2 linked regions of the Drosophila melanogaster genome follow. The protein of the gene in region 1 interacts with the protein of each later gene in a pairwise test. Each region holds a gene or a part of one and is shown on either strand. Other genes may lie near its edges.

What was found.
Region 2: the proteins of CG8745 (region 1) and CG6220 interact in a two-hybrid assay, tested with the Drosophila melanogaster proteins (one large-scale study listed by BioGRID).

Annotation. Positions count from the first base shown.
Region 1 is NT_037436.4:13,858,998-13,871,261, reverse strand, and holds CG8745 (uncharacterized protein), read left to right. Parts: upstream 1-4,356; 5' UTR 4,357-4,570; coding exon 4,571-4,659; intron 4,660-5,826; coding exon 5,827-5,945; intron 5,946-9,108; coding exon 9,109-9,343; intron 9,344-9,463; coding exon 9,464-10,505; 3' UTR 10,506-11,235; downstream 11,236-12,264. Other genes in the region: Hml (hemolectin), read right to left, coding at 11,331-11,456, 11,514-11,770, 11,827-12,264.
Region 2 is NT_033778.4:13,689,413-13,698,254, reverse strand, and holds CG6220 (uncharacterized protein), read left to right. Parts: upstream 1-4,885; 5' UTR 4,886-4,979; coding exon 4,980-5,717; intron 5,718-5,953; coding exon 5,954-6,295; 3' UTR 6,296-6,548; downstream 6,549-8,842.

The sequences.
Region 1 (12,264 bases):
TCGAAAAATGTGTAAATCTGTGTAAACTCTAAAAACATATTATTGTATGATTATTATTATTAAACTATTGATTATCAATCGAGCAACGTAGCTTAGACCGTTAATCATTACTTGTTTGAACTAGTGACAAGACAAGTTTAGGTTCACAAGATTACTGTAAGAGCAATGTTATTTGATGATAAACCCACAAAAGCCCCCAAGAAAAGCAACCACAACCGAATAAGGCATACACTAAGAAAATCAAGAGCTTAAAATATTAAAAATGAACAAGTAAAATATCTTAAAATCCCCTAAACAGTAAGCAAAGAAAAAGTCGATGCAGAGAAAAAAATGATGAAACAAGATTTAAGGCACAGACACTGTAAAATGTAAAAATAACCAGCAAACTAGTAACGAATTGTCGCTTTTGTTAGATTCAAACACACACTAACATACACGAATACACGCATGCACGGCACACACACACATACACACGCATGCATATTGCCAAATTGATTGTATTTACAGCAGCTAATTGAACGAACGCAAAAAAACAAACAACAAACAAAAATCAAGCCCACCTAAGCAAAAGATAATTTGTAAAAATTAAAAATAATCTTAAAATTAAATCGCAAAAATGTAAAAAGCTATGAATATATATAAAATGAAGCAAGCAGTAGCTATGGCCACAAAAACACTCACACAACAACACTTACACCAGCACCCACTCAGAAATACTTAGCCCAAAAAGCGCATCAATTCTAAATTTTTAACCAAGATATCAAATTATATACCCGCAGTGTTGTTAGGTTAATCGACATTTTCGTCGACTGAAATTCTATCATATTTCTACAAATTTAATTATCGACAACATTTACAGTTCTGCGATTAAATCGATTAATTCGATCAATCTGACAACACCGCAAGGCATATCCCTGTTATTAGTACAACTTAAACTGCACACTGCACAATTTTTGAACGTTTGTTAAATGTTTTAAGGAGTAAAAGGCCGACACCAGGAAAATCCGCTGCAAAATTGTATTCTCCTCACCAACTAACCAAGAAAGGACCCTCGCACCCCAAAACAAACCGATCCCAAAACGCAACTCCAACCCAGAAAAATGGTAAACGAATTATGAAACTGCTAGGGCAGAAGGACATCTACGTCTGCTCTGCCACTAAAAAAAAAAATGCAAAAATAACATTTACGCTGTAGAGACAAGAAGAAATTAACGCTTAAAATTTGAGGTTGATTGGCATTAAGTAAAAAGTTAAACGATGTTGAAGCAGGAAGAGCCGAGCCGACAGGGCGCGATCACGAGCAAGTAAATTAAATTATATAACAACTTTAAACGGGCACGACGAACAACCAGCAAGTGCTTACTATAACTTCATACGTATTGTGTAAAATATTAGCAAAGAAAAAAATCCTTTTTATAGATCAAAAACAAAACAAAAAACCAACGTATTTTTCGCTCTCTATCCTTCACTTTCGATTAAACGATCTACCTATATCTGTCATCCACTCACTCAATCAGTCAATCAGTCGTTCAGTCAATCGTTTCGCCAAATTTGTTGATTTCGTTTGTTGTGTGTGATAGTGTTTGGATTATGAAATGAAACTTTTGCATGTCACAAGAGCAATTTGTTCGACCTAAGTCCCCAAGAAAGTTAACTTTGTGTCTAAATGATATGTATAGGGCATGGATTCTATGCTGGGCTTGTTTTAATCATCTCAAAACTCCAGAAGGAAAACTAATTCTCTGCTTAACTCTCTCTTATTAACTCTCTTTATGTATGTGTCTGTGTGGAAATTGAATACATATACAAAATTATTACAATTGAAATTGAATCGTTATATGAGGTATTGTACTTGTATTTTTGTTGACTATTATGTAATTAAACGCTTTACTGAATATCAGTTATGTACATTTTTTAGCTAAAACTAAAAATTAAAAACCAAATTCAAGCAAAGAAGCTTATGCTGTTACTTATTGTTAGTGAATTTACCACAAAAAAAAAAAAAGAAATGAAAAGAAAAGAAAATCGAACAAAAAACCAAACTCAAGTTAAATTTTCAAAAATTTATAGAAACAAAAAGAAATCATTTTGCAACGTTCATGCGTGAAGAAAAATATCAAGGGGATTGCCTTGTGGACGCACTTACGCCTTTGTATATTGCGATACATTTTGATGAGAAGGCTTATCTTAAACTTTGAGAACTACCAGATAAATATCTATTTAATATAACGTATACATGCATACAAGCAACATATAAACATATACCGAATATAAAACGTATGCTAAACTATATCTAAATTGTAAACGACAATGAGAAGCAATTTTAAGCAAAATGAAGAAAACCATTTCAATTTCAACTTCAATACCCCCCACATGAAAAAACACACACGGATGAAGTAAACCATTTATGTGAATTAATATGTATAGAACTATATATATATCTATGATTACAAACAGCAACAAGGCTATCTATATGCTATGCTAATGAAAGGGTAAACGGCATTTAAACTCATTCAACCAAAACATACAGAAACCGTATCACACGGAAAGAAATGAAAGCTTATAAATACCATATAGAAACGTATATGTACCATACCATATAGATCCACAACCATGTACCACGGAACTATCGTATCGTAAATAGCAATAGCTGTTAGTTATAGTCAATATGGATAGCTAAACTACCGAATAGCAAAGCCTCAACCGAAGCAAACTTGTTGTACGATTAAGATTGAGCTAGACTTTTAACCAGAGATAATCCAATTTGTAGATATATCGATATATCACATATAAAATGTATGATTGTGTATATTACCGGATAACAAAAGAACTCTTATGATTTCCAGGTCTCGCTTTTCAGTTGATCCTTATTATGAGAACCCCAACTAATATATATCAAATGCCCAAAAACCTTTAATGAATTCAGACCAGACCACAAAAACAACCAACAACCAACTACAACAAAAACAAACTGTGCCACCTAGTACATAACAAGAAATGGTTATATATCTGTATCTGCTATATAGACACTATAACACATACAATTCAACACGAACTTGTACTATACCTAGATATACTACATATATAGAGAGAGAAGGAAACATTCAATGCTCACTTTTATATTTTTTATCATACATCCTTGAATCGAGAAAGCTATTGAAAAGGACGCAGGACGAAGCACCGTAAGAACCACTGAACCACAAAACAATGCAAAACAAAAGAAATCGTACATAGGAAAATTCTCATACCCAAAGAACATATATTTATAGATAGTGTACAAGTTCTATATGCCTAGATATTTGTTCCATTGCTTTTTAGAGCCAATTTGCTTTGCTTGCGAGACAAAATCCCCTGGAAAAAAAAAACCAAAAAACGTACCTACATTCTATTCTGTTCTCCGATCCCATTCAAAATGACAATTAGGAAAGAAAACACCAGGCATAAACGCAAAAGATCGAGCTAAACTAGTGCTTAGTGTTTAATGATAAACAATTCCAATAAAAGTATTTCAGTTGTGTATATTGTAAAGAACAATTATAAATGAACAAATATAAAGTTAAACATTTAAAGAATAATTCAAAAATTTATTGAAACATTAATAAAATAATTGTATTTATCGAAATTAATACAAACCAATTTAAGGCATTAGCATAGCAAAAGATAACGGTATACATAAATTGAAATGAAAATGAACACAAAAAGCGCTGATTTAATATTATATTATTAATTATATTATTGCAAACAACAAAGTGAAAAACAAATGATATTGTCCTTGGTATTTACATATACATAAAGAAAACAGCAAAAAAAAAACAAAAGAAAAATAAAAAGAAAACGTTTTTTTATATAACCGACATAGATATTTTCGACCGCTGATCTGCGTGGCTTTGGATTGTTTGGGGCTATTACTTAAAGATACTTTTAGATTCTAGGAACTACATCAAACTCGAATTCGCTGGCTACACTTTCGTCTATTAATGGAGGATAAAAGATGTAACTTTCAATTCTAGCTAAAAGTACCATGATAGATTTATTTTCGAACTATTTTATTTTCTATTACATTTTACTACTAGTATTTATTTACTATTACGATTTTCTACTAGTATTTATTTACTATTGCAATTTACTGCTAGTATTTATTTACTATTACAATTTTCTACTAGTATTTATTTACTATTACAATTTTATACTATTATTTATTTACCATTACTATATAATTCAAATTATCGCGCCCAAATGGACTCTAATGCGATGAATAATCGACAAATCGATAGGCGCGAGCGAGTTCGAATTCGCAGAGAGAGATGGCAAGATATGCCGCTGTGTGTGTTTATAAGCGAGAACGAAACTTGCTTCGGCAACAATTTCAAACAAGACGTTAAAGGCGACCGTGCCTGCCAGCGACTGTCCAGGAGCACCGATTATCCTGCCAGGACTCCAGTCTCAACACACGGCTCAAAGCTAATTTAAATCAAGTCACTTGCCAGTTCTAAAAGTGCGCGCTTTTCTGCCGATTTTAAATAACTGAGTTAAAAAAAAAAACAAAATAAAATCAAAATATATCTTAAAAATGCCTTTCGCCCACGAGCAACTGAATCTGGTGGCCAGCGAGCAGCTGAGCAAAACGGAGACCATCAAGCTGCGCAACCAGCACATCGGGTAAGTGGCTTCCTTTCGTGGTCCTTACGCCGTTATCCTCGCTCGTATTCGTAATCCCTGGTCCGGGTCGTGAGCCTGCGACCTTGCCTTGAATTCGCTCTGGCTGTCAAGGTCAGGCGGCATCCCCCACTCGGCCCACTCATCGCCAGCCCTCTCTTTCGCTCGCATTGGACGGCTGGCCGCCCGATTTTCTTGTACTTTTGTATTTTTGGCACTGTTGCCAACAGCCGCCACCGCCACCCAAGGAAATAATATAACAAAAAAAGTGCACAAAAAAAAGCAGGAAAAAAGTCGTGCAACAGCGGCGCTTTTTTAGATTTGGGCCATATTGATTTTTTATCGCCTGACTGCATAAAAATATTTATAAAACCAATTTGGAAATTTTATAAAAATAAATTCAAAGGGCCTGCTAGGCAGAGTGTTCGCACTTGATAATCACGTTCAATATACATTTCACATTTGTTCTCGCTTACATATATATTGTAATCTAAATTGACTGAAAAATATCAATCCAAATTTTCCATTTTGTGGAATATTTTAAAAAAGAACAAAGGCTAGGTAGCTTGTGAAATGAATTACAAATTGCTAGCAATAAATCGAGAAATTCGAAAACAAAAGGGGCCTGTTTTTTATGACTCTGAACTTTTACAAAATACGTCAGTTCGGTTTTATCACTTTCATGTTTCCAAATTATTGGCGAACAATTATTGATTTACCATATTAAACTAAATATGGATCAGGCTAAATTCAAGTAGCTAATAATTATGATTTTCAAATGGTTAGGATGCAGTTCGGATCAAAGTGCATTTTTTGTCCCCATTAAATTGTTAGCAGCTGCGTTCCCGCTCTCTTTGTTTGCCTAAAGTCAACCCTAAAATGTTTATCAAACACAGCAAGACGCCTTGTTTTTGTCTAACAAACACAAACACAATAACCATTAAACACGGCAGTGGGAACAGTGATTATCTTGGTGATAATGAGTACTACTCACTACTCTGTCGTATATTTGTGAACTGTTGAAATAGGCCCCGGTTAATAGTATAACTATCGTCACATATACGTCTTTGCCTTTTACATTGTCTGGATTTTATGACTTCACTTAGCTTAGCTAGCAACTTTGCCATCCACCTAATTAACCTACTTAATAACTTGCATTTTTTTCTGCAGACAAGCCTGCCAGCTCTTCTATCGCTCTGATCCCCTGAAAATTGTGCGCGGTCAAGGTCAATATATGTTTGATGAGGAGGGCACCCGGTATCTGGACTGCATCAACAATGTAGCCCACGGTAAGTCAATCTATCAAAACTAAATTTGAAAAATATGTAAAAATTTGTAGGACTACAGAATGCGTAAGATCAATAGATCAAAAAACCAGCTCTTATATGTAATAGATCCTATTATTCATCTCGAAAATATTGTTAATTAGGTGAAAAGATGAAGAAAACGGTGGTGTAGGGCGCAGAAAATGATAATTTCGTCGCCATTTCTGCAATAAAAAATTGTTATAATAAAGTAGGGGTGCCATTAAGTACGTTGCTAGGTCATGTTTTGCGATTTTGGAACCGGGGCCTGATGACGATTATTTTGGACCTCCCGTCCGGACGTCGACACTTGGTCGTTGACGGATCCTATTTCTGTTTATGCTGATTAGCAGTGGCACACGCCCGTCAAATGGCCAATGTACGGATGCAAAGTGCATGTGGCACTGCGGCTATTTGGAGCGTTTGGCAACGCAAGTTCAAGGTTGAGTGCTCAACTAGATATATATAGATATAGAATGAGTGATTAACACAGCACTGCCATCAAGACAATCACAATAATAACAAATGGCCAGGGACCGCATTTGCGTAAAATATACAATACGTATTACGTACACATACATATATATGTATATATATATCACCGAGGGGGTCCCAGTCAAATCCAGACCATCCAAACCATATCAACTTATCAACAACGGTGGCCCAACGACAATAACAAAAAAACAACGAAGATTGACGTCGGCAACCAATTTGCCAATTTGCTGATTCTGGGATCTAGGTAGCTCACATTGTTTGCGTCTTGTTTGTAATTGTCCAAAACACTTCCTGCTACGGAAAATTTTCCATTTACAAGGTTTTGTTGGCAGCAATTTTCCTAGCCTAAAATCACTATTAATTATAACTTTATATGTGTAAAGTTATATTACATGCCCTTAAATAATACTTAAAACATATATAGTAATAAATAGTTATTTTCAGGGCTTTCTATTTCTGAAAAGCTGCCCTTCTATAAAATTAGTTTTTCCTTTTGTATTAACGCTTGCCGCACTGATAAGATGAGGCCATTGGCATTGCGAATGTACTGAATATAGATGAAATAGATTTGACAACCCAATGAGATTTGATAACGTCGACTGTAGCGCTTATTAATAGCTTTCCTTTTGGTTAATTGCCACCTAAGGGGGCTCATCAACAGGGTCGAAAACAATATTCCAATAAGGGTTATCATCGAAGGGTGCAAAAAGGTAAAGCTGTTTACAGTTCAGAGATAGTCAACTGATTGTGTTTGCACCATCAACTGATCAATAAATCAATCAATAGATGTTGTCCCTTTATATCAAAACACTTTCAAAAACTTGGTGATGGATATTGGGATTATTTATAGTGCTCCCCCATTTAATGACCCACTTAGACGGTTGCACATTTCGTAGACGATCGCAAAACTCAATCAACCTCGGAACAAGTCTTACGATCTTCATACGACTGATAGTTAGCCCTTTCACATTCAGAACGTAATATTGGGTCCGTGCAGAGGCACGTAACTTACGGCTATGCCCATAAGTCATCAATAACAAAGTGTGAAATCAGTCCTCAAGCAAACATGTAGCACTATAACCATGATAAGGTGGCGGGGGCACGTGTGGACGATCTGACGATCTGAATAACAAGTTGTTATGAAACTAGAAACCACGTTCCTCGTAATCTCGTGCTACTTTTTCCACTCCGGGTGTCCAACAGGCCGCAACATGTGAACGTCTCGTGCGAGTGGAAATGTACTCGAGATAGGCGGTCGGGCACAGTACGAAAAAAGGGGGCGGGGCTGCCCCGGGGTGAGCACACAAGGCGTACAGTCGTGCAGCCCATATGTCCGTACGTAGTCTAGTTTTTCAATATTTGTGCTCGTAGTGCCCCAACCCCACGAGATCTGAGCAATCAGCTGTGCCACTCAGCACACATTGCGAGTGGAAAATTCTGAGCAGATAGTCGGAAAAACACCCCGAGCCATGGGCCTGCGGGCTGTGAAAAGTCGTACAAACAGGCGATATAAAGAGAAGAGCAAGTGGAAGTGTAAGCATGTCATAGCGACCACTTGTAGATTGTCGACAATGTCGCGAAAAACTAAGAAAATTTGCTGATCGCGAAAGAGGAAAACAAGTGGGTGGGCTTGTTATGAATTATAGAAGATGAAGAGCATATTAATAATATTCATCACTTAAAGTATACGATCTAGAACGAGCCCTAACTGAAGTTTTTCAATATAGCTAGTGATGAAGTTATTTGAATACACATTGAGATATGCTTAGTAACGCTCTTTCAAAACAGTTTCTAAAAATGCTAGTTTTTCCCAGCATAACTGTACTTCTATTCCCTCGACATAATTAAAAACCAAAGTGCAGAGATTCCCCCATGGTCATTTCGATCATTCCAAACCTAATCAGCAAGCGTATGAAACAGAAACAGTCAGTCTATTATACACCATTTAATTTCATACCACTGATATGGAAACTAGAAACGTGAAGGCATCGCGTGAACTTCACGTGATACCTGCCTCGCAGAACACTACGTCTTATCGGGGGCGTGTGTGAGTCCAAGTCCAAATGATTCTAATGCGAGTACGAGACGAAATTAGAAACGCAATCGGAACGAGTAGTTGACCCCCAAACGTCGCAATCTGTCGCCGTCGACGGGAGCGGAGTGGTCCGGGTCCCGGGGCTTATCGCCCATCCGTCGGCGCCTACGGAATAGCGATACACTTACGGATGGCGACGCCGAGCCCAATGGATCCGGGCCTGTCTGAAAGCGTTTTATTTTCGGTATCGTGGCAGATTGCCCTGCTTATATGTGAAGCGCTGCACAAACGATCGGGCAAGCAAGTGGTTAGGGGAAAATCACGTGCGCGACTTGCCTAATTTTAGCCACACCCTCAGTACAAGCTTATCACTATTGGGTTGATCTATCTATAAATTTGATCTAATAATCTCGTTGGGTCAGTAGCGCTAATTGAAAGCTTTATTTTTGGGTTTATTTCTCCATCGTGAGTTAGCAATTTGATTAGTTAAAGAGGGTGCCTGGTATTCAGTTATACAATATGGTTATCTATTTTACTTTTATTAATACTTGCTAACAATTTAAATATATTTATTTAAAAACTATACAATAATTATAAATTTGACCTCAATCTTTGCAGTGGGTCATTGCCATCCGGAGGTGGTGCGAGCTGGAGCCCTGCAGATGGCCACCATCTCGACGAACAACCGCTTCCTCCACGACGAACTGGTCCAGTGTGCTCGCACGTTGACCAGCAAAATGCCGGAGCCTCTGTCCGTTTGCTTCTTCGTCAATTCCGGATCCGAGGCCAATGACCTGGCCCTTCGATTGGCCCGCAACTTTACTAAGCGTCAGGATGTTATCACTCTCGACCAGTAAGTTTCTTCTGTTTGATTCTAGAGATTAAATTTGCTTGAAAAAATGATTTTGGCTTGCTTAATATTTATTTTGAACACCTATGGAAAAATATGCTAATTTCTTTTATTTCGTTACAGTGCCTATCATGGTCATCTGCAGTCGGTGATGGAGGTGTCTCCATACAAATTTAACCAGCCCGGCGGCGAGGCCAAGCCCGACTACGTGCATGTGGCGCCGTGCCCGGACGTTTATGGCGGAAAGTTTACGGACAAGATGTATCCGGATGCTGACATGGGTGCCCTGTATGCTCAGCCCATCGAGGAGATCTGCCAGAAGCAGTTGGCCAAAGGACAGGGCGTCGCCGCCTTCATTGCCGAGAGTCTGCAGAGTTGCGGTGGACAGATTTTGCCACCAGCCGGATACTTCCAGGCAGTCTACGATGCGGTACGCTCTGCCGGAGGCGTTTGCATTGCTGACGAGGTTCAGGTGGGATTTGGACGCGTGGGCAGCCACTATTGGGCATTCGAGACCCAAAACGTAATCCCCGATATTGTGTGTGTGGCCAAGCCCATGGGCAATGGACATCCGGTGGGTGCGGTAGTTACCACTCCGGAAATCGCTCAGGCCTTCCATGCCACCGGAGTTGCTTACTTTAACACTTATGGCGGCAATCCGGTCTCCTGTGCGATCGCCAATGCAGTGATGCGCGTTATCGAGGAGGAGGGTCTGCAACAGAAGGCTCTTGTTTTGGGCGATTATCTTTTGGAGGAGTGCAATCGTCTGAAGCAAGAATTCGAGTGCATTGGCGATGTGCGAGGCGCTGGACTCTTCGTGGGCATAGAGCTGGTCCAGGATCGGAAGGAGCGTATTCCCGACAAGAAGGCTGCCCACTGGGTGGTCAACCGGATGAAGCAGCTCCACCGGGTGCTCGTTTCCTCCGACGGTCCCAACGATAACGTGATCAAGCTAAAGCCACCCATGTGCTTCAACCGGGAGAATGCAGATGAATTCCTGCTGGGATTCCGGGAGTGCTTGACCGCCGTGATGCAGGAGCGGCTGGCCAGTGCCACATCAGCCGCCATGGCTGCTACCAGTGGTGTCATTGCAACAGCCACTGAGACACTGGCCAACAAGACGAAACTCTTCGAGCGGCAGGATCGCCTTATCAAGTCCGTCTGAGGCAGTGCCTGCTGGTTGGCCAATGCCACCACCAACAACGTCTCTTCGCCCGGGCACAAAATAGCTTTAGCCACCAAGGATATTTAAATTATTCCATGATCCCCATGTCCGCTGTTCCCATAAAAAATTAGAAGTAATTCGCAAAATTTCCATTTTTTAGCTGTAGTATCAACATGTTTATTTGCTTAGAATTAGACCCACTTATCTGTAATCTACATTTATATTTTTACGCTGTATAATCATTATCCTCTTCGCCAATTATCTTCTAGTATCTAGAAACGTAGGGAGCCCAGAACGAATTTCTTGAATTGTTATATCCCCAACATCATGTATATATGAATTTATGAATATATTTAGTATATGTTACAAATGTTGTTAAAATGTTACGTATATTTTGTATAACTACAATGTTTTTTTCACGTAAATGTCAATTATGAAATTCGAAACTTCTGTGCGATTTCTCGACACAACATTTAATTTTTGGTAAATACTGTTTTGCTTGTCAAGAGGGGTGAGACTTTACTGATCACGTTGATCCGCCTAATTTTATAAACGATTACTTGCAAATATGATAGATGTAAGCAAAATGTAGAATATTTGTAGAATATTCTACCTTTTCTGGGTGTATGTGTATATAAAAACCCCGATGAGTATGCAAATGTTTGATGCGGCTAACGTTGAGTTACAAGTAGAGTTTTGTTGTGTGAATAAAAACATCTTATAGCAAATCAAATACAAACTACTTTAATTTTTTTAAAAATTTTATTTTTATGCTCGACATTCTTAAAACTAACGAAATGACTTTCTCAGACAACCAATAAGTTATTAATGTCTATGGTTGCCGAGTAATTGGAGTAGTGGAGACTGCGCATCCTGCTGCATTCGCACATCGATTGCAGAGTCCGAAAACTCTGAGCACGGCGAGCATCCGCAGTTGGAGGGCACCTCGTGCTGGAATAAGTATATCATTAAATACTTAATGGGAATTAAATAGAAAATGTGACAAACCTTCTGTGTAAATGTGTGACCATCATCGCAAATCATTTTCACGGAAATCGGATGATAGGATTTTATGCTGCAGCAAGTACAGAACTTCTCGTGCATGTCCGTGAGTGTATTGTACTTGGAACCAGAGGAGCAGGCACCCTCGCAGTCGGTGAAGCCCTGAATGGGATCGGCATTCACACATGTTCCATGTCCTTGCACAGGGAACTTGAGAATCTCCTTCGTACGCGACTCGGCCAAGGAAACGGGTAAACAAGATGCTACAAAGAACAAGGAATTAAGACGGTCCGGACCTGGGATCTAGGACTTTACTCACATTTGTCCTCCACCAATGGTTCCGACTTGCATCGTTTGCAGCAGCCATCTTGGTACAACAGGTGGGATAGGCAACTACCCACATCCGGACATACTTCTCTCGAGGTGGTAACCAAAAATTGGCCATCCTTCTTCAGGCAACTGTAGGTAGTGCAATTGTCCGCCGACTTCCAAAGTGCGTTGACTTCGTATAGTTTTTGCTCAAAGATGCACGAAGTCTGGACACACTTGCCACAGCATTTGGTTTTGTCCAAGTTCTGGTAGCTGAATCCTGGGGCGCAGTCAGTGAGACACTGTTCCAAAGTGCTGACAACCTGGGCATTGCCATCCGGACCATAGGAACATGTCTCCTGCTTGCAAACCTCCTTGGCATGGGTCCACTTATCACCCACTGTCTTGGTGAACTTTGTGGCTTCGTCGAGCTCATACTGAACAATGC
Region 2 (8,842 bases), on another chromosome or scaffold:
TGCCTTCCTCAAGCAACAACATGAAAATAAATATTAAATAATCATTTATTTTCACAAAAAAGCGATGTACGGTTTATTTTTTCCATTTATTGTTTGCTTTTATGTTTGTTTGCCTTCACTTACGCACACACACCTTCGCCCGCCGTACAACGGTGCGTATGCGCGATATGCCATGAAAGGTGGAAACGCCTTCCTGCTTAACGCCTCAGTGCATTGGCTTTTGGTTGTGTTGGGGATTGAGGGTATGAATCGGTGACCCAGGAACCAGGTCAGCCTATATGGCCAGCGGCAAACTTAATGGTTTATTGTTCAAGGTGTTTAAGAGGCATTTATGTGATTTAATAAATAAAATATCACCGTTTTGATCACGGTGTATATTATTGTTTTATTTTGTTTTTAATGTTAGGAATTTATTGATCGATATTACCCCTTTTAATTCTAGCATTTGCTTGCATTGACTCTCATTTCACGCTATCAATTTGAAAACAAAAAGCTGCAGCATCCCACAGCATTCCTCACTCTGTCACTCGAAGCCGCAAAATGCGGAAAATTGTGCTAAATGTTATGCGAAAATGCACAAATTACCGGAAAGGTGAGTGCTAGAGCCGAGCAGCACCGAAAAGTAGGTGCTCGACAAAATAAATTTTAATAAACAGAGCGCATACATCAAACGACAGACAAACGCACACAGCTGCACGCTGCCACACACACTTGTGCACGTAATTGGCGGCAAAACAATTAGTAGCATTTTGCAGTTTACAGTTGCTGCACACACCATATAACCCTCTAAAATATTTTACACCAAACTGCACGTGAGTATACACTGGAAAATAGTGAGTAGTGTATGTTTTAAAATCTATAAAAAAAAAACATTGAATTCATATGTTTCCACTTTCGTATATACTATAAGTTTGAATGAGATTTACTTATTCCCTTACTTTACTGTTATAAAAACTTTGGTTTGTCGCAGCTTTATGATTTATTTTCCAGTGTAGGCAGCGGCAGGAGCTGCAACAAAAGCTGACGAGCTGACTAAGTGGCAAATGTGATGAGCTTTTGGCCAGAAGCGCAGACAGACAGACAGTCTGAGCTGAAGAACAGGTGGCAGGTGAGCTGGTAAGAGCCCGAAAAGCGTTGAAACTTTTGACACACTTGGCAATTGAAATGCATTTGAAGAGCAAAAAAGACCGCCCACTTTCCGTAATAAATTACGGTAATTTAGGGGAAGCGAGAGATACATCGGCATTAGCATACGTGCGCATATTGTTAAAGAGCGAAACGAAACGAGTCGAGTCAAAGGAAGCTGGCAATATGTGTGTCGCAATTTCCGTTTGAAGTGCACTTCCTGTCAGCCTGCAAATGTCATGCTAAACTGTGAGTCATAGGGACACTCGCAGGAAAAACCAACTTATAACTAAGAAAGTTATCATAGCTCATACCTCAATTGGCATATTTTATGTTTAATATGACAGAAATGTATACACTTTTCAGGGTAGCAATTCACTTCAGCATTTAAAGTGTGCACTAACCTCAACCATTCATATGATGTTAGCTGGTAATTTTTTTTTTTTAAGTGAATAAAACATTTTTTCTGAGTGCGTGAAGTTGCAGCTGCTCGTCAAGGTTGACTCGTTGATTGCCTGAACAAGTTCTGTTGAAAGGAAAGACTCAACTCAGCTCTGGCTTAATGGAAAAGTCCCTGGGAAGAATGCATACACGTGTGCCCCACTTATAAAGTCAGATGATTAAAGCTGGTGATATTCCAGCGCTTTAGAAAATCGATATAAATGTTCTGTCATAACCCATGGTAAAATAAATTTCAGAGTTTCCGCTTAATTTCGTGTGCTGGCATCCGTTCTCGGATTCAATTTTGTGGGGAAGTTGCAACAGCTGCTTGCAGTTGAAGAAAATCAAATTGAATAAAAAAGTTTCTCTCTGGCCAAGTGGCCCCTGCGGGCGGAAGTGCAAAGAGTTGGACCACATGGCGAATGCTTGATATTTCGCTTTCGCAAAGCGAGATGACAGGCAGCAACTGGCCACTTGAAGTGCAACTGTTGCACATCAAACAGCCATCAAAATGTGCAAACATGATGGAGAGACATCCAAGTGGACACGCCGGCAATGCCAACTGAAAGATACTAGAAACTTGATACAGATTGCAACTGCGGCTGCAGTAGTCGAGATGTTTTCCCTTTTTTTTTTCGAAAAACTTTGAAAAGGTTGGCGGACTCTGTGCTCCAGCATATGAGGTATGTGTGTGAGTGAACCCCAGCACAATCAAGCACACAAACAGACATCCAGTTCATATACGCCGTGCAGCCTGTCACTCACATTTCAAGTCCTCCCGACTTGGTCGGTATTCGCCGTGGGAAACAACTTGATCGGAACTCGGGGTCCTTTGCTGACAAAGGACAAAAAGGGGGTCACTGAAATTGATCAGCAGTGCCGACATTATTTGCCCACTTAACAGGCGTATTTCCATTCTCCATCGTACGGCTTCATTGCACCTTCAGCCGAAGCCAATCTCATTTCCATTAAATTGTCCTGGCCTGGCTTGAGCACATGAATCTGCTCCGAATGCGAAAACATAATGGAAATAATTCGCCAAGGAAAGTAATAAAGTCTCAGCCTTGGGAAGGAGCCAAGCAAACATATGAGCACAGGGAGAAATGACGGAGACACTTCTATATCAACTATTTATATTAAAACTTATTATATTAAATACTTGACTTTATTTGTGGAAGATAAGGGATTATAATTTGCATGCAGAAAAAAGAATAAAGAGACTGCCTTTATTATGTTGCTTATGTATTTTTTTTGCTCTGTGTACACACTAAATGCATGTGAACCTGGTTGTCTTGTGTGTGCGCTTGCATGTGTTTGTGTCTCAATGGCGCTTTATAGTTATGCTGTTGGTCCTCGTATTTGTTTAGTCCGGCATTTTATTTTTACTGTTTATAAGCTGACAAAATTGTTTTTCCCTTCTCTCGCAGCCTGCTCGTCCGCCGAGGGTCGTGTGCCGTAAACGGGCCAACGCTGCGGCTACGTATTAAAACGAGGGAGCCGCAAACAATAATTGGCCCTGGTTCGTTCGGGAGGGGAATTTTTGATGGCCTTGTCTTGTCACTGAGGCGAAATTAGTTGCCAGTTGGGATGTTGGGTGGGGCGATCGCCGAAGGCGAGTGAAACTCACTTTTTCCCATTTCCCTTCTGCCGGCTTTTCCTTGCTTTGATGCGATTCCATGCAGTTGGGTGCAAATCGCTGGCCAGCGATGATTTCATTTCCCCGCTGGCAGATGGTCTATGCGTGGTCGCATTCTTCTCTGATTAAATTTGAAGTTATGCACTCGCATCTCGTGTTCGCTCCGCTGATTCTTTGCAAAAAAGAATTGTGAATGGAAATTCTAAAAAGGGCATTCCCTATCTATGTCAGTAAGCCATTCTTTTCAATTTCAATTTTCCGCATTGTTTTCGGGTTTTTTCTGGTCATTCTGGTCGCTTTTTTTAAAGCTTCCCTCTCGCTACATGAAATATAAATCCGAAAAATGTGCCTGTCGTTCAAATACCGCCCATACCATAATGTATTTTTTTTTTCGCCATAATGCTATAAACTTAATTAGTGCTGAGCCGAATGAGCAATCAGATCATCCCGGCCATTCCCGTCGGTTTAATTAACACGCCAAAAGGCCGTAGACGTAAGGTGAGCCTTTCGGTTCATCGCGTTTTTTATGCCGCATTCTTAACGCGGCCGCGCCGAAAAAAAATGGAAAATATGCCGGGAAAAGGCAAGGCCCCGCCAGTTGGCAATACAATTTGCTGTGACAAATGCGGCCATAAACAAAAATGGCGACAACGATGCCGCTGCCGCAGCCGCCAATCCGCCATTCAGACATTTTCTAGTGCAGCGCCAGCGACAAAATGGCTGCCACAAGAGTCTGGATGAAAATTTCATTTCCCAAGCTGCGATGGCGATGGCGATGGCGATGGCAATGGCGGCGACCTTTCACGGTATTTATCACACGCGAAACGAAACCCGTCTACAATGCCACCCGCTCGTTTTCGTTTTTGGTAATGAAATTTCGCTTTAGCAATTACGGGCAACCCCTTCGGGCCATATACACATACATAAATACATATATAGCTGCGATAACTGGGGAATCCAGCCAGCTAATAGCTTTTGAGGCTAGCTGGCTCGCTGGCTGGAAGACTGGCTGACTCGATGGATGCATAAATTATGATGGGAACACGAGTGTCCTCCACCTCCCCATCACCCCTATTGCAGAAATCAATTTCAGGCTTCGGCGGCAAAACAAAGCGATGCTGTGGAAAAATGCAAGAAACAGCCGAGCGGAGGAAAACAGAAACAAAATTTATAAAAATATTTTCATGCCTTGCAGCTAAAATGTTATTAAAGTCAATAACATAAAGCCGGGACAATTCCTTTTGCCATGCTTTTACCAGGACGTGGGTGAGGGTGAAACTTTGTCAAATAAAAATAGCTTACAAATAAAAACAACTCGGGGCGGAAAAATAAAAAAAAAATATATAAATAGGAACGAAGAGGAGCGGGACGAACAACTGACCAAGGCAATGTAATAAAAATAAATAATGGCTTTGACAAAAAATAAACGATGGCAGCGAGAAAGTTTGAATATTTATGAGTTTTTTATGTGCCAACAAAGGAGGTGAGCCAAGAAAAATCGAGTTTGTACAGTGAAACTCATAACAAGGAGCAATTTGGCAATTTGAATTCATAGAATTTGACAGCATTTCATTTATCGAGCAACACGGTCATACTAATAGTATATGGCAATCGAAAATAGTTGGCTCTGAACTTTTAATCGTATCAAGTTTTAGTCATAAAATCATTTGCTGCAAGGTGTTGTCAGAATCGGAGTGCGTATCGTTAAAAAAAAAAATATATAAATTTTAACAAGCTCAAATTTGAGTGTGCGAATCAAGCGTGAAAAACAACCGAAATGGATCCTATTCTAAAGACCCTTACCGAGACCATGACCGTGGAGGCCATCGCAATCATCAAGGCCAAGCGCTTGGCGATGAAGCAGAGCGTCGATAAGAACGCCATGCAGATGAGGGCCCAGGAGCGGGAGAAGGGTCGTAATTTGGATAACATGCAAAAGGAACTGGGCAGGCGGGCCATGAAGCGGGAGCGACCGTGCCGCGTTTTCGAGGAGCAGCTGCTGGGCGAGAAGGAGATGACGACTGCTCAGGAATACCTCAAACTGGCTCACCATTCCATGATGCGTAGCTTGGACTCTACGGTGCCGGAATTATCACAGCTGGAAATGCCGCCCCCGCCGGAGATCATGACAGAGCCGCCTTGGCCAAAGACCAAGTACAATCGCTATGGCCAGGAGAAATTCCTCAAGGCACAGCAAGAGTTCGGCATAAATCCGCAGGGCAGCAACTTGGAGAATTGCGCGACTTTTCACGAAAGTCAAAAGGACAAGCGCAACCGATCTGTGAGTAGGGAAAGCATTGAAAGGTCGAGAAGCAACAGCAAGGATCGTCGCTCATCGAAGCTTTACGCACGAATGCCCATCATTGTGGTTCCGGATGCAATGACCAGCATGATCAGCCTGAACAATATCAAGACACTGCTCGAGGAGTTGCACTACGAGCCAGAGCGTAACGGCCGGCAGTCTAACCCTCCTGAGTGTCGGCCCAAGGAGGTCATAGTCGAGCATCGATTTCAGGTGGGTTAAAAAACTATAGTAGCTTGAAGTTTGTAAATTTACAGAGTTACTAAGTACGCTTCTCTTCGCTCTTCTACTTATTCCACTGATGCGGTGGAGAATAAGGAATTTTTCATTCTAAGTGCTTCGCTAATAGTTATGGCTAGCTGTATATGCCTTGGTATTGGTTGTTAGAATTTCTAATAAGTGCATGCCTGATCGATAGATTAATTACCTTTATGAAATGCAAATTTCAGAACGAGCTTGTTAGCTACCGGGTCATCGACAACGTGACCAACCTAACACCCGTCGAATGGGATCGGGTGGTCGCCGTGTTCGCCATGGGACCCAAGTGGCAATTCAAGGGCTGGCCGGATGGCGCTGACCCCGCCGCCATCTTCCACAAGGTCTGCGCCTTCCATCTGCACTTTAGGAATACGCCGATGTGCCCGGAGCTGACCAAGCTGCAGGTGCACTCACTGGCTCTCTCGCCCACCGAGCGCCATTCGGACAGCGGCATCATTATGGAGTTCTGGAACAGAGTGGACCGACACATGGCCGTCCATGCCCGTCAGTTTGCGTTTATCTGGCAAAAGTAGGGTTCTTGTGATTACATTCCCCCTGGCGCACATACATACATAGATGCCAGATAAGCAGGGAAATCAATAAGTGAAATTGAATAAGCCAGAACAAAGGACGAAGGACAAAGAGTGACAACACACACGCACACACACACACACACACACACACACACACACACACACACACACACACACACACACACACACACACACACACATGGGGCGTTGCTGCGTTAATAAAAATTGAGCGAAACGGGCGCATCAGAGAAATATATCACGTTTGTATAAAAATCATATAAAAACGTTGCGAAAACTGCAAACTTGGCAAGAAAATTAAGAGCACAAACAAGTTGGAAAATGGGGAAAATTCGGATGGTAGAGGCGGTCGGGAGCGGGGAAACTTGGCACGCGTGAGACAAAAGCTAAATGACACACAAAGGAGCAGTTGTGTGCGTGTGTAGCGCTGTACTTATGTAAGTCACTGTGCGTCCCACAAAACGTAAAGCTGTCAACGGCATTCAGCAGAGAGTGATGGTGAAAACAGAAAAATGGGGTGGCGATAAGAGCATGGGGCTCTATAAAAATCGCTGGGAAAATGACAATTTTTATGCACCACACCCACACATATACACACAGGGTAGAAAACACATGTGTGTGTCTAATGAAATAAACTAAGTGCCAAGGCATTTGCATGTGGGTGGTGGGGTTTTCGAGATGAAGCAATTGGCAGGCATTGCAGGCAAATGCACTAAGCGTTTTAACAGTAAAACAATAAATTTAGTTTCACGAAAGTCGATGAACTTGTGCTGTCTCATTCGCTACATATTTAGAAGACTGAAGGATAATTCACCTAGGTGCCAAAATAATCCAATAATCCAAGACTTTGCCAGCGCTTTAAATGGAAAAAATGAGAGTAAGTCCTTAATCTTTCAAAACAATTTAAAGTGGTTGCTTCATCCCAGTGCCTTTAGGTTTCCGTGTAAGTAGCTGTAGATTATTTACCAACTTACGCAACGCATACAAGAAAGCGGCAGGTCCTTTTCGTCCTTACCAATGCCAATCGTCCCGCCTCTGTGGGCGTGGTCGTGTGTGGACAAATCGAGTTTCGCCACCAATATTCAATTTTATAAATTGAAGCAAAGTGAAAGCGAAAAAAAGGCAATGTGAAAAAGAAATTGAGTTCGTGCTGGCAAAATGTATTAAGCTTACGTTTGGGAAAACTAAGTTTTCCACACGAGCCTGACTGACGTTGGGTTGATTCAAGCGATAACATTTTGGATTACATCATCGAGAGCTCGAGATGGTGAGGCATTGCAGTTAAGGAGATATCTTAAGATAACGTCTGCCCTATATTAAACGCATCTGTTTGCTAAAGTGGGCGTACAACTAATGCAAGGACAATAAATTAACAAAATGGGTTGGCAATAAATTGTCGAAATTTGCATTCGAAGAACCCACACAAAATCCTTTCGCTGCTCGGATTCAATTGCAATTGCCATCGACAAAGCCAAGCGAGTCTTCTCCTCAATTTCCCTCCAACGAATTGGACATAACTTAGCCCCAGTTGACAGTTGCTTTACTTTGCATTCCCAACTGATATAAATCCTCTGGCAGCGCTATTTTTCGGGATTAAACACACATTTTTTGCAGTTCGTAGTCAACAAGCTGGAGCCAATATTAATGAATTGACCACTTAACAAGATTCACTCCCCGAAAGAACTGAAAATTGAATCGATATCATCTGCTGGCATTACAGTTGGCTTACAACTGATTACACACTGACTCGTATAAGTTTATGTTCAAGTGTCCGTTTACCCACTCATGTGCCACGTATCTATACATGCATATATACGTATATACACGTATATATGCACCTTTATTCATATATAAATTCTCCTACTTACGGAAGGACAAAGTTTTTACTTCACACCCAAGCGAGATTCGAGAGTTGGTAGCTGAGAACCGAGAAGCACTTTGAGCGCCCATAAATCCCTCCGTGGCTGTGAAAAAAGAACAACAACCACCACTACTAAACTATGGCGAAAGTTTGCAGTTCAAATCAGTAAAAAGTCAACTTTAGCATCCGAAGAAGCCGAAGAAGGAGCAGGATGCCAGAGAGCCCTGCCCCAAACGCGTTAGCCATATGGCAGGCGAAGCCAAGTGGGAAAATCAACGAAAACAACGTGGCAATCGCACACAATCACACATGTCCGCATGGCGATGACAGTGGGGAAAAGCGCAGCGATGACAAGGACAACAAGGACGAGGTCCGCCATCTTGTTTTGCCCAGATCGACCCAGAGCATGTCAATTGAAAGGCGGCGTTGAATGCATTTCCGGTTCCGCTGCACTTTGTTTTGCTTCTCTTTTTTGGTAGCCGAACAAGTTGGAGAAATGTAAATCTAATTTCGAATTAATATTCATGCCTTGAATTCTCTTATAGGGAAATCCACAAAGTTTAACCTCCTCGCATGGTTGACTTGTTGGGCGTAAATATTATATATCCTGGATATGTTGTGCGAATGCAAATAAATTTATTTATTGCTTAATGAAATGCGATACTACT